2 linked regions of the Arabidopsis thaliana genome follow. The protein of the gene in region 2 interacts with the protein of the main gene of each other region in a biochemical or structural test. Each region holds a gene or a part of one and is shown on either strand. Other genes may lie near its edges.

What was found. Proteins that work in one complex are often made in the same cells at the same time.
Region 1: the proteins of RABH1c (region 2) and GC5 form a complex in vitro, tested with the Arabidopsis thaliana proteins (one study listed by BioGRID).

Annotation. Positions count from the first base shown.
Region 1 is NC_003070.9:30,027,611-30,036,140, reverse strand, and holds GC5 (golgin Putative 5), read left to right. Parts: upstream 1-2,239; 5' UTR 2,240-2,427; intron 2,428-2,550; 5' UTR 2,551-2,632; coding exon 2,633-2,780; intron 2,781-3,239; coding exon 3,240-4,183; intron 4,184-4,262; coding exon 4,263-4,334; intron 4,335-4,462; coding exon 4,463-4,537; intron 4,538-4,622; coding exon 4,623-4,737; intron 4,738-4,882; coding exon 4,883-4,944; intron 4,945-5,022; coding exon 5,023-5,070; intron 5,071-5,278; coding exon 5,279-5,563; intron 5,564-5,658; coding exon 5,659-5,778; intron 5,779-5,853; coding exon 5,854-5,937; intron 5,938-6,039; coding exon 6,040-6,105; intron 6,106-6,192; coding exon 6,193-6,291; intron 6,292-6,373; coding exon 6,374-6,592; intron 6,593-6,821; coding exon 6,822-6,936; intron 6,937-7,012; coding exon 7,013-7,233; intron 7,234-7,521; coding exon 7,522-7,581; intron 7,582-7,667; coding exon 7,668-7,781; intron 7,782-7,869; coding exon 7,870-7,944; coding exon of another isoform or gene 7,945-7,995; and 6 more. UniProt on the Arabidopsis thaliana protein: Golgi matrix protein playing a role in tethering of vesicles to Golgi membranes and in maintaining the overall structure of the Golgi apparatus.
Region 2 is NC_003075.7:18,503,731-18,508,650, reverse strand, and holds RABH1c (RAB GTPase homolog H1C), read right to left. Parts: upstream 2,733-4,920; 5' UTR 2,540-2,732; coding exon 2,423-2,539; intron 2,074-2,422; coding exon 2,003-2,073; intron 1,918-2,002; coding exon 1,829-1,917; intron 1,749-1,828; coding exon 1,634-1,748; intron 1,541-1,633; coding exon 1,450-1,540; intron 1,354-1,449; coding exon 1,192-1,353; 3' UTR 948-1,191; downstream 1-947. Other genes in the region: AT4G39900 (adenine deaminase), read left to right, coding at 1-82; AT4G39880 (Ribosomal protein L23/L15e family protein), read right to left, coding at 3,514-4,050; AT4G39870 (TLD-domain containing nucleolar protein), read right to left, coding at 4,376-4,462, 4,579-4,663, 4,781-4,868. UniProt on the Arabidopsis thaliana protein: Protein transport. Regulator of membrane traffic from the Golgi apparatus towards the endoplasmic reticulum (ER).

The sequences.
Region 1 (8,530 bases), on a different chromosome or scaffold from region 2:
ACACTGACTAGTATAGTAGGGGTATGTACGTAGCAGTATTAGGAAAACAATTAGACTAACGGTAAAGGCAGGAAAGAAGAGTTGTTGAATATAAGTTAGAAAGTTAAAAAAGAATTCGGATAGAGAAAGTTTAGAAGACGTACGTAAGCAGAGAAAATTAATTCAACAAATGTAATTCAGCAGCGGAAAGAGACGTCGAAATTTATTTTATTTTTATTTGTTGTTGTAAAAAAAGAAAAAGGTCAGCGAGAGGCATTGACCGATCGTTACTCATTAATTTCAGCGACCTTAAAAGGAAATGAATGCTCTTTATGGGTTTGCCTCCAACCCCTTTCCAATTCCTCCACCCTCTCTTTATTACTTACTTTCCTATTCACTATACGCATCTCCCTCTCTCTCTATATCCACCATATATACATTTTATAATGCCACCTGGACACATGTGTATGTGTATGTTGTTTTAATATTTGACAAAATTTGAAATTTTGATCATCTTATTGTATCACGGGCACGTCAAGATTTCAAACATTGATTCATATTATCGTATGCATACACCATGACATATTATTGCAAGATATATCTCAACAGTTACATTGTTAACAATATAGATATAGTAGCTTAAACCGTCCGTATAATACGTACGTAAATGGACGAAGACGTATAGTGAAGGAAACTTAGGTCTTTAATAAGATATATAATGGTATAACTGTAGCAGATGATTTATCTACAATTCAAAAGCTTTATCAGTTTCTTTTGTTTTTTTCTTTGTTAGTCGTCGTACGGCCTAGGGAATTGTTAGTTAGGAAAGGTAGATACATAATGTATAGAGAGGGAAGCAACCATAAACATTTACATTCACCACATGCTCTTAAATAATTAATTAATGCCTCCTAACCTCTCCTTTTGCTCTATCTATCTACTTTAATTAATTACTTGAATATATGCTGCCTATAGAGATTCCTTTTTCTTTCTTCCATTCATTCCTTTTGGCTACTGACTCTCTCTCTCTTTTTTGCTCTCGATTAATACTTCTACTTAATTAGGGTTTTGGGTAAAAAAATTCGCCCTTTTCACCATTAATCTATTACCCGTGTTGGCAAACTTCCAAGACCAGTCTTCTTTCTTTTTTGGCTTTTCTTATTGAGGGCCAATGAAAGCAACTAATTAATTTTTAAAGTAGGGTCTATCAAAATTAATTAAGACAACCCTTAAGTTGATTCCAAGATGCAGAAACTGACCATATATCTTTTCTTTTATCTCAACAAGTGACGACGATCCCTTTTAATTCACGTCCTTACAAATAACTATCTAGAAAGAGAACTGACCCACCAAAAATGGAATATGGTGATGATCTCACGCTAAAAGCAAACGTGTTTATACAAATGTGACATCGAGTGTGCACACGTACGTGTGAAGAGGGAATGATGGCATAGGAGATTGCGCCAGATAAAGACAGTGAGGACAACTAACTCCATATACTAACTTATATATAATTAATACAATGCATTTTGATATTCACTTTTTGTACAAAGGAAATGATACCATACGAGTCGTACGTTGCTAATATTCTTGGTACCTCCAAGTCCAACCGCAAAACAAAAGATGGATAGTTAGTTGGAGAGGATCAGCTGATGAAAACCAAAAGACACAGTTGTGAGAGAGCTACTAGCTAGTGAGTACCACATATATACGTATATTGGGATATATATATACCTTGAATCTTACACATTTTGCTTACATCTAAAATAGAAAATGAACCAGTAATTAGTTTTTGTTTGGATCCATAAATATCACATATATTACTTAATTATTTCATATAATTTATCACTCAAATTACATTTCTGTATACCAGTTGTAGTATTTTAATGAATAACTCTACTAGTAAATTGTAACATTCAAACAGAAATAAAAATGAAAAATGTAAATGTAAAGATATAATCGTGATCTGAAATAGGATGGTTTACAATACGTAAGAGAATACGAATGTACATCATGAGTATCAAAACAAATCAAGATTCATACCAAAAGGAAGAGAAAAAACATATCAACATATGCATAGGTTAGCGTCTTAGCGAGCGTGCGGAACCGAGGGTGCCTTGGTTTGCTGGCCCCAAAATGGGTGGGCTTTTAGGGGCCCAATATTGTTACTTACAGAGGCTAAAATGGATCCTACTGTTTTCCCTTTACAAAAACGGAGACAGGCCTTGTATATAAAAAATTCAGACCAAAGCCGCTTAGAATGAAGTAAATGATATCAAGACAGAACGTTTTTCTAATCCGCGAAACGACGCCGTTTGTACCGCCGGTGGCCGAGGGAAAAAAAAGGATTTGGATTTTGTTGGATCTAAAAAAACATAAAACACATAGGGGTGGGTCTCTCTCCTCCGGAATTCGATCACGACGGCAAGGACGACGCATCTCCTTCTCGTAAGCCATTGATGATCCCAATAGATAGCTCTATTCTGCTTTATCCAATCGCCTCGTCTTAATAATTGATTCAGTGATGTAATTGGGATCTAAACTCGATTGGTTGATTGTTTTCCTTGGAAGCCACAGGGCTGGAGATGGATCTGGTCCGGTGATTTCTGAGATTTAAGTCGATCGAGTTTCCAGATATATCTCTCAAGTAGAGATGGCTTGGTTCAGTGGCAAAGTTTCTCTGGGAGGATTCCCAGATCTCACTGGCGCTGTCAATAAATTCCAGGAGAGCGTTAAAAACATTGAAAAGAATTTCGACAACGCCCTTGGCTTCGACGACAAGTCCGATTCTGCCGCTGAAGGTGTTCTCTTCTTCTCACTTTTTTTCCAATCAATACACATAATATTATCATCCTTCCCAATAATCTGCTGTTAGTCAGCTGGGAATATAGGATTTGATTACTCAAGGCGCATTTGTTGATAGGACCTGCCATTTTTCTTCTTCTTCTTTATGTAGGATGTTTAGATCAATAATCTGCTGTTGCAATAATACAATCTTGCAAGTTATGGGATTCTGTCTTATTTTTCTTAGAACTAGCTTAGCTAGTGTGCTTCAGATTCTACCCATTGCATTTTATTCTGAATTTGAAAAAAACACTTTGTTTTGGATCTTTGCGTTTACTTGGTGACAGCTTTTTCTGGCTATGATTTCAGGGGTATTCTGTGTTTACCTAACTGTAGCACAAATCATTTTCTTCTCTAGTTTGTCTTGAGTTTCTTGTACCTTTCACAACAAAAATCCTTTTGTTCTTTCTTTTTAGATGCAGCTTCAAGTATGTGGCCACCTGCAGTTGATACCAAAAGCCTCTTTGATCCCGTTATGTCCTTCATGGGTAACACCTCTGATGAGAAACCTGATACATTGGAAGACTCTGTGCGTACAGAAAATCCGTCTCAAATTGAACAAAAAGAAGAAGAAGCTGGATCGGTTAAGCTAGCTACTGAACAAGCAGTATCTGTTGAAGCAAATAAAGAAACAAACGTGAGAAGAGAAGCTGATCAAGCAGATAATCCTGAGGTAACAGAAACTGTTGTTTTGGATCCCAAAGATGATGAACCGCAATCGCAGATACTTCTCGAAGAGTCCTCTGAATATTCTCTTCAGACTCCTGAATCCTCAGGTTACAAGACTAGTCTTCAACCTAATGAAAAGCTGGAAATGACAGCTTCTCAAGATTCACAGCCCGAGCAACCCAAGTCAGAGGCTGAGGAATCACAGCCTGAGGATTCTGAAGCAAAAGAGGTTACTGTAGAAAACAAAGACACTGTTCACTCCCCTGTGTTAGATGGACAGCATAAGATTACTTATATGGATGAGACAACAAATGAACAAGAAATTCTGGGTGAAAATCTGGAAGGGAGAACCTCGTCTAAAAATTTTGAAGTTTCACCAGATATCAATCATGTAAATAGGATAGAGTCCCCTGTTGCTCATCCGTCTTTAATTTTTGAGTCTGATGGTTCTCCTTACGAGTCTTCTATACCAAAGAGATCGTCGTCAGATGAAATTTCGGAGAGAATTGTGGATTTTGTTTCTCGTGAAATAGATTCAAGACTGGATACTAGTGAGTTAAATGAAAGCCAGCGTTCAAGCTCTGCGACAAATGTTTCCGACTCTGCTGATGTTATTCTGGAATTAGAGAAGACCAAAAAGGAAATAAAAATGTTGGAAAATGCCCTGCAAGGTGCTGCAAGGCAAGCTCAGGTACATCTTTAGATCCTCATGAAAGGTTTTGCTACGGATATGGTGCTTCTATACCAATTTTCTGGGGATTTGTTTACAGGCAAAGGCTGATGAGATTGCGAAGTTGATGCATGAAAATGAGCAGCTAAAATCTGTCACTGAGGATTTGAAGGTACAATAGAGTATGCGGAATATGGGATATTAGATGAAGGATTACTTTTTTCCCCAGTCTTCCGCCCATCTTCCTTTCATTTGGAATGATTTTGAATCTACATTCTAATAACCTCTGCTCTGGAACAGAGGAAATCTAACGAAGCTGAAGTCGAGTCTTTGCGAGAAGAATACCATCAGAGAGTTGCAACTCTTGAGAGGAAGGTATTATATCTTTTATCATTCTTCTCTTTCAATTCTCTTCTTTTCATTATATATATATATGCCTTCACAGTGCTTATCTTTGTAGGTTTATGCTCTCACCAAAGAGCGGGATACACTTAGAAGAGAACAGAACAAGAAAAGTGATGCTGCGGCCCTTTTGAAAGAAAAGGATGAAATAATAAATCAAGTTATGGCTGAAGGTAAGACAGCCTTTTGGAATGCTTGAATTATGGATCGTATTTTTCTCGTTATAAAAAAATGGTGTTGAAAGCGAACACCTGAAAAATGAAAGGACGTCATTTCTTGCTCAGCTTGAGCTCTTGATATTAATGCTAATCATTTCAGGCGAAGAGCTTTCAAAGAAACAGGCTGCTCAAGAAGCTCAGATCAGGAAGCTAAGGGCTCAGGTATATATTCAACGCTATGTGTTTCATTTTTATCAATACCAACAGTCTCATGGCAATTCTTATTTGTACGAGGGTTAGATTAGAGAGGCAGAAGAAGAAAAGAAAGGACTGATCACAAAGCTTCAGGTAATTGATTTTTTTTTTTTTGTTTCATTAACCACGTCATTAAGGATGAAACTGCCTGAAGGGGTTTTCTTGATTTCCCAGAAGCTTTTGTGAAAGGCTGGTTTGAAAATCAGTCTTCTTGTAGGCAGGATTAATATCTAAATAACTAAAGCATTTGCAAAGTTTGTTAAGCTTCTTAGCTTCATTAATTTTTCCTTTCAATTGCCAGTCGGAAGAAAATAAGGTCGAAAGCATTAAAAGGGACAAGACAGCTACAGAAAAGCTGCTGCAAGAGACCATAGAAAAACATCAAGCTGAACTTACTTCTCAGAAAGACTATTACTCAAACGCATTAGCTGCAGCAAAGGAAGCTCAAGCGTTAGCTGAGGAGCGTACCAACAATGAAGCGAGGTCAGAGTTAGAGAATCGTCTAAAGGAGGCTGGAGAGCGGGAATCTATGCTAGTCCAGGCGCTGGAAGAATTGAGGCAAACCTTAAGCAAAAAGGAGCAACAGGTTTTGTCTTCCTCGATCAAATTTGGGATAGAGTACTACTGGGATCTCATCATTTTATTTATACTCACCTAGTCGGTGGGCTCTAATTTTTACAGGCAGTGTATAGGGAAGACATGTTCCGTGGAGAAATTGAGGACCTTCAAAGACGCTATCAGGTCAAATCAAGATGTTTCGTTGTCTCTATGCATATTTCTTTCTTTGGTTATCGCCTTTTGGTTACGTTTGAACCATAATTCTAGTTACTAATAGTTTGTTCTGTTTACTGTTTGCTAAACCAACCACTCTTATAGGCTAGTGAGCGAAGGTGTGAGGAATTAATCACACAGGTTCCTGAGTCTACAAGGCCTCTCCTAAGACAGATTGAGGCTATGCAGGTAAAAAATTGACCCATATGTTTTTTCTGAAAGAACTTCTCCTGAGATTAGAATCTTAAATTAAATTGTAACATTGCATGCCTCTTATCTGATTGGCGATAGGAAACTTCATATAGAACAGCAGAAGCTTGGGCTGCTGTAGAAAGAACTCTGAATTCTCGATTGCAGGTGTTATGAACAACACTGCTCTATGCTATATTCAGCCAATTATTTTTGTTTTCTCTATCTTTTTGTTCACTTTCTAGAAATATTCAGGAAGCAGAAAGTAAAGCTGCAACAGCTGAAGAACGAGAGCGCTCTGTGAATGAACGCCTCTCTCAAACATTATCAAGGATCAATGTTCTAGAGGCCCAGGTTTTCTATGCTTTTTGACACTGTTCTTCATCAATTTTCGCAGCTTTCTCTAAATTTTAGCTTACCCAGTTCTCCTATCCAGCTTTCATGTCTCAGAGCAGAACAGGGCCAGTTAAGCAAGTCACTTGAGAAAGAGAGGCAGAGAGCAGCAGAAAATAGACAGGAGTATCTGGCAGCTAAGGAGGAAGCAGATACCCTAGAAGGTCGAGCAAACCAACTTGAAGTTGAGATAAGGGAACTTCGGAGAAAACATAAGCAAGAGTTGCAGGAAGTGCTACTCCACAACGAGCTTATTCAAAAGGTTCTACATTGCTTTATGGACATAACTTAATCTAATAAGAGTTAGTCCCATGAAAAATGCCCCATCAGTTACGGAATTTAAAGGACTGAAGTACCTAGCGAATTCAATCAAAGTAGTGCTTTCCCAAACTTTTTCATCCTGAGTAGCTTCTATTAACAACCGAACTGTTCCAGTTTATTACTCTTCTTTATTGTCCAAGTAGTTTCTCAATATGGCCTATTTTTTTCAGGACCTAGAGAGGGAGAAGGCTTCACGTTTGGATCTTGAAAGAACGGCCCGTATCAATTCCTCGGCAGTCTCTGAACAGCTTCCTATAGCAAGGCAAAATTCTGCCTTTGAGAATGGTGATGCATCTAGATCTATACTACTGCTTAATAAGTCAGGCATTGCACATCTGTAATTCATTAACTATTGCATCAGGAAGCTTGCCTAGAAAGCTATCAAGCGCAAGCAGCCTTGGAAGCATGGAGGAGAGCTATTTTCTGCAAGCTTCTCTTGATTCTTCAGATAAATTTTCTGAGAAGCGAAGCATGCCTGAGGCAACTATGAGTCCGTACTACATGAAGAGCATCACACCGAGTGCTTATGAAGCCACACTTCGACAGAAAGAGGGTGAACTTGCTTCATACATGACCCGCTTGGTAGGTGTAGAAAATATCCAACTGGGACATTTTTGTGTAACTCTGTTGGTAGGCTTTTGGCAATTGGCTTAGTAATGGGATTGAGGTTGACATCAGTCCTTACAATGGGACACTATGGGTGTTTGGATCATGTTGAGAAATTATTGGTTAGTTGCACACCGTGGTTAGCCTTCTTTTATAAGCTGGTTTAGAAGGTTTAGCTCTACTCGTCGAGGTAGTATAGGCTGGTTGTTAGTATCATCGTTATCTGTAGAATCTAACTGTAAGAGTCTATTTGCCTTTGGACAGGCATCAATGGAGTCTATCCGAGATTCCCTGGCTGAAGAACTAGTCAAAATGACAGCAGAGGTATGTATAGCGCTGAGAGTTTAGAGTTGATATTATGCTCAGTGTTATGATGATATTTCGTCTATATCTGGTAACTGTGGATGTAGTGTGAGAAGCTACGGGGGGAGGCAGATAGGGTCCCGGGCATAAAGGCAGAGCTGGAAGCACTAAGGCAAAGACACGCGGCTGCTCTGGAATTGATGGGTGAACGAGATGAGGAGGTAAGATATGTGAATAAAATAGTAGTGTATCCAGCATTAACAACAGTAGTTGGCATTGAGTTAATAAAAAAGTGGGTTTGGGTGGTAGTTGGAGGAACTTCGAGCGGATATAGTGGACTTGAAGGAGATGTACAGGGAGCAAGTGAACATGCTGGTGAACAAGGTAAGGCAAACAGACACAAGTGGAGTCAAAGTGTTGACAAACTCAGGCTAATGGGTTTGTGCAATTTTGGGTTTGCAGATCCAATGAGGGGCAAGGGAAGATGGTGTTGGCAAGCTCAGGCTCACGAGTAGGACCACCTAATCCTTGTTTCCCCAATATTGTATAGCTCTATAAGCTACCAACCTAAGCCCACTATATTCATTTGTCGTTTTGTCTCTCAGGTGTTGGTTGAACTTGAGGCTTTTTAAAACAAACTTTTGCTGCTCGAAAGAAGATTTTTCTTACAGTGAATTCGATCGTAAATTATTATTTTGGAGACGAGAATAAACTTTTGTCTGTGTGACTTATCTACGTATGTAACATGTATTGTCTGTGTAGTAGAAAAACGGTGGAGAGACCCATTAATAATGGGATTCGTTGATGTAGCAATCCATCCATATAGGAAAACTGTGTGACTCGAATGGACCCGAATGAGATATCAAAATCACAGAAATGATAGATAAAGAAAATAAAGAACAAAAAGGCCTCCGGCCCTCTTGTAAATGTTAATAAAAGCCCAAAGGCCCAAAATAGCTCTGCAATGGCT
Region 2 (4,920 bases):
GGGAACATTGATATTGATCTACCTGACACTGAGAGTGAAGCAAAACGGAGACAACAACAACAACAGCTTCAATCACATGTAAACTGTAGCATCTCTTTTGGCCTTTTCTCTCCTTCGTTGTCTCGCTGTTTAGAATCTCTTCCCCAAACTTGTCTTTTGTTCCAAGTTTCAAAATGTTGATAAAATAACACTTGCTCTTGCAAATGCCTAATTAACGTGTAACCAAACAAGAGGTTAAAAAAGTAGAATCAAGAGTGCTTAGCATCGTGATTATCGTTACTATTCTCTTTAGTATACAAATATATACAAAGATAATACGAATCTTCAAAAGTATTTAACAAGTATTATATGTTAATGTCTGAGATGAGTAAGCACAAACTAATTCACTAATCAACTTGTTGTGTTACAAGTTTCATTGAGTTGATAACACTAACGAATGTTTGAAGGCTCAATAAAAAAGTAAAACAAGAGAAGAACAAATAAAGGATAACGTTTTTCGTTTTCCAAGAAGAGAAGAAACAACAAAACCTTCCCGCCGATAATCGTAGTGGCCAAAACAAACGCCAATGGAAGCCTTGTTAAGGAAGACAAGGTTTACGGAGTGAAATGGTTTGAAGGAAGTGTTTATTACTCTCCCAGTGATGGTAAATGGGGAAGAACGAATAGGCCACATCTTTTGAGTTATTGTGTAGTTGAGGAATTGTTGTTATACGGTACCGATATGAGCTTCCGGTGAGTGTTTTGGCAAGAGTCTGAGGAATCAGAATGGAAGATAGTTAAAGGTTTGGAGGCTCTAAGAATATCAGTCAAGTGAACAGTTTTGGTGTGAACATTGTTCTCTTCTGGCTTGAGCGTAATGATGATGATGAGAGATTGGATGTTTGGTGTGCCGAGATTTCGTTCGAAAGGTGAGATTTGGGGTACAATTGAGTGGAAGGAAGCTGTCACCACAGTTGATCCTTCTCCCTTTGGTTCATTTGGTGGTGATCAGAATAAGGTTTTGTATTCTGCTACCGTCAATGTCTAAAACAGATCAAATACAGAACAAGGCAAAAGATTCACATGTGTAAAAATAGTAATCCTTTTCTCTTTGATGTTTTATATTCTGTGTCAGTTAATAAGATGAAAACCACAAAACTAACGTGATCCCTTTTGTTTGCTTCACAAGTTTTGGAATTATGTATTTTTGAATCAACAAGAACAGCCTCCACCACCACCTGCTCCTCCTTGTTGCTCACCTTGTGATGAATTTGAAGTGGTCTTTAGATTCACATCAACCATGTCATCTGATTTTGTTGCCAATGAATATGAGTCTACCCCGGGTAAAGCTGCAGCAATCTTCCGGAACAAAGCCTGCAAATTGAAGAGATTTGGTGTGTTTAGAAATCAGACAACAAGAAACACTCAAATGAACATCACTCCATACTCTTTGTTGAAGTTTTGTCATACCTTAATGTTGAAGTTTTCTTTGGCACTGGTCTCAATGAACATCACTCCATACTCTTTACCCTTGTCTTCTCCTTCACTGATTGATACTTGCCTGTTTTTCATTATATCAAGATTGACATATATAAGACAAGAGAGAATTATATAGTCCATCCCATCCAATTCTTTGCTTAATGTTTGTATTTACCGTTTTTCAACAAGATCAGTTTTGTTTCCAACAAGAACGATGATAACATTGCTTTGACCTCTTTCTCTGTGAACATCCTCAATCCATTTCGAGGTATTCAGAAACGTTTGCCTATCTGCAACACAAAGTATTGATTGAACACATAAGAACACAAAAAAGAAGGTGAATCAAAGAGAGAAACAAAGGTGGACTTACTGGATACATCGTATACAACAATGGCAACAGAAGAATCTCTGATGTAACTTGGGATTAGACTCCTGAATCTTTCTTGTCCAGCAGTATCCCTTTCAATCAAAACTTGTTTTGTTATTGCTTTTGAAATTAACATGTTAGTTTTTAGGTAAAGAGCAAAAGTAACATTGTTCTCACCATAGCTGCAAACGAACTGTTCGATCTTCGAGGTACATTGTTTTCGATAGAAAATCGATTCCAATGGTAGGCTGCAGAGAGTCAGAGAGAACACAAATAAAGGCTTAATGACTAACTAAGAAAGCAAAGAAGCAACAGTGCTTAGCATCATCGATCTTGATCATAATAAGAAGAAGAGATTGATAAATCAACCAAAAAAACAGAGAGCAGAGTGATCAAACAAATGCATTGAAGAAAAACCAGAGTGATATCAGCGACGTAATCTAGGACCAATATGAGATGAAATCGTCTGAACAATCGTAATATAGGAAATAATGAATCAGATCAAACAATAAAAAAACGAAAACAAAAGAAACTTGTTGTCGCAGAGAAGAATTTAAATGAATAAACAAAACAAGTGAAAGGAATCTGTGTAAATACCTGGTACGTGGTGTCGAATTTGTCATACATGAAACGAGTGATGATGCTGGTTTTTCCGACAGATTGGTCTCCTAAGAACACCAGTTTAAACTTTGCCAAAGGTGAAACCGAAGCCATATGTTCCGTTCCGTTGGAAGAAGAAGGAAAAAAAGAAAAAGTGTGATTCAAAGATCAGAAGAATCAGAGTCTCGTCTTTCTTAGGTCTCGACGATGAAGAAGAAGGAGAGCACGACGACGATGACTCGGTCGCACACAAACTTGACAACCTTCACAAAATCGCCACGCGCCCAAATATATTCAACGATTTCCGCGGAGACTTTATATAAGAAGCGCGTCGATGCGGTTGGGTGTATCTGTGTTTAAAAAAAATAATATTTTTTAATGATGAATGTTTTCTAAAATTTCTATGATCAAAGTCTTCTTCATTAATCTTTTAAATCGTTATTTGATTAATTAAAACCTAAACCAAAAAAAGACCTTTAAGCCAAACAAATTTTTGTTAGTTTGTGAAGATACTAGGTGAGTAGTAGCCTAGTTGTAATCTGTAATGAATACCAAAATCTGAACTAACAATTATTTTAACAATTATTTAGTAAACACCAAGCTACTAGTCCACAAAGTGATGAGATTTTTGGGATGATCAGAGATGACTATATTTATTGGCTAATGTAGTGATTTGTCACAATTTTATCATACGTTTTGCATCTGCGTAATGTGATCGAACATTTGAACATAAGCCCCAAATCCACAAACAATAAGACTAATAAGAGGTTTCTCAAAACTTGAACAGACAAACAAAGCACCATCACCAGAGTTAATCCCCTTAAGCATTCTTATAGATTGCAATTAAGAAAAAAAGCTTTAGAACTCGGGAGCAGCAAATATCATATAGCTAATCAGAGATCACTAAGAGAAAGATTACAAACAATTGGAAACATCTTGATTCAGATTTATTAGCCAAATCTCAGAAACACTGAGAGCTTCAATGATTCAGATTCTCAATACACAAACCTCAAGTAATAGAAACAACAAAATCAATAATCCGATAGCTAAAGAAACACAAACCCCAGATCATAATCTGCTCATAAACCCTACTTACCAACAAATCTCATGTTGCTCCATGGAAACTTGGCCGTCCCCGCCGCCGCAGCACCACCTCTCGTCGGAGAGTTAGCCCTTTCACCACCTCGACGACCTTTACCTTTACCATAACCACCAATCTCCCTCTTCTCCTTACGATCAAGCCAATGACTCTTCTTATCATCTTCTTCCTCAACAAAGCTAGATCCTTTCACTTTACTCTTCCTATCTTCCTCGATATACTTCACCGGAAACAAATCCCTAGAAATCGACAATGGACTACGTAGCGTGACGTAAGCCTTCTTGTAATCAGCTTTCGCTATCAACAAACCACCACGCTTCTTCTTCTTCCCATCCATGTTTAAAGTATTCACCTTCTCCACATCGAATCCGTAGAGCGACTCCAGGACTCGCTTGATCTCGATCTTGGACGCGGAAGGAATCGTTTTCAACGCGAATTCGTGAATGTTGGTCAGCTTCGCAGGCATCAGAAGCTTAATCGGAAGATTCGCGAAATGAACCACTCGTCCTCCCAATCTACTCCCCATTTTCAAATCGGAGCTGAGCTTTTAGGTCAGAAATGAAAAGCAGTAGCAAGGGTTTTTCTTCTTTGATTCTTCCCCACTAAAATTAATCCCTCTTCACACACACATATGCTTTAATGGGCCTTAATGGGCCGAATGAGCCTAATAGGTGGTTTTATTTTGTTATTTCAAAATCATCATTACAAGTGAGAGAGAGTAACATATATGTGATTTTAGCCAAGTTACAAGACAACAAGATTTCTTTTACTACAGATTTATACAACAACAACAACAACAACAACAAAAAGACGAATCTCAGTTGAATTCATTTGGGTTTTCTTTATAATGATCATGACCATCTGCAAAGACCAGGCTCCATTGTTTTGCTGTGAGCTAGAATCTCATCATACTTTGAGCCATACACAAATCCCCATAGCTGCAACAATCAATCAACCAATGGTGTGTTTGTTTGCTTGTTTCAGTTAAAAGGTGTTGCAAAATATTGAAATATAAAGCTTTTATTTTTCAAGGAGAGGGATGAAATTTAACTACCTCCACTTCCTTAACATCAAAGTCCTGAGAGTCTGCGAGACAAGAGTTCCCATACGTCTCTGAGTAAGCGCTCGATCCGCTTAGCCTATAAGAACACAATGGATCAATCGATTTGAGGAAAAATGCCTTGTTGTCTGTCGCAATCTTGCAATATAATAAAAATGCAAATATGATTTTAAGAGATTTGGTAAGGAAATCTTACAGCTCACTGTCTAGATAGAGAGCAAACCGTCCACCACCGCCCAGAGCTAGGAATTCCTTGGAGCATAAAGTGTAGAACCGATTTGCGCCTGATCCATAATTACAGGTGAATAATGAAACAACTCCCAACAAGTTCTATGT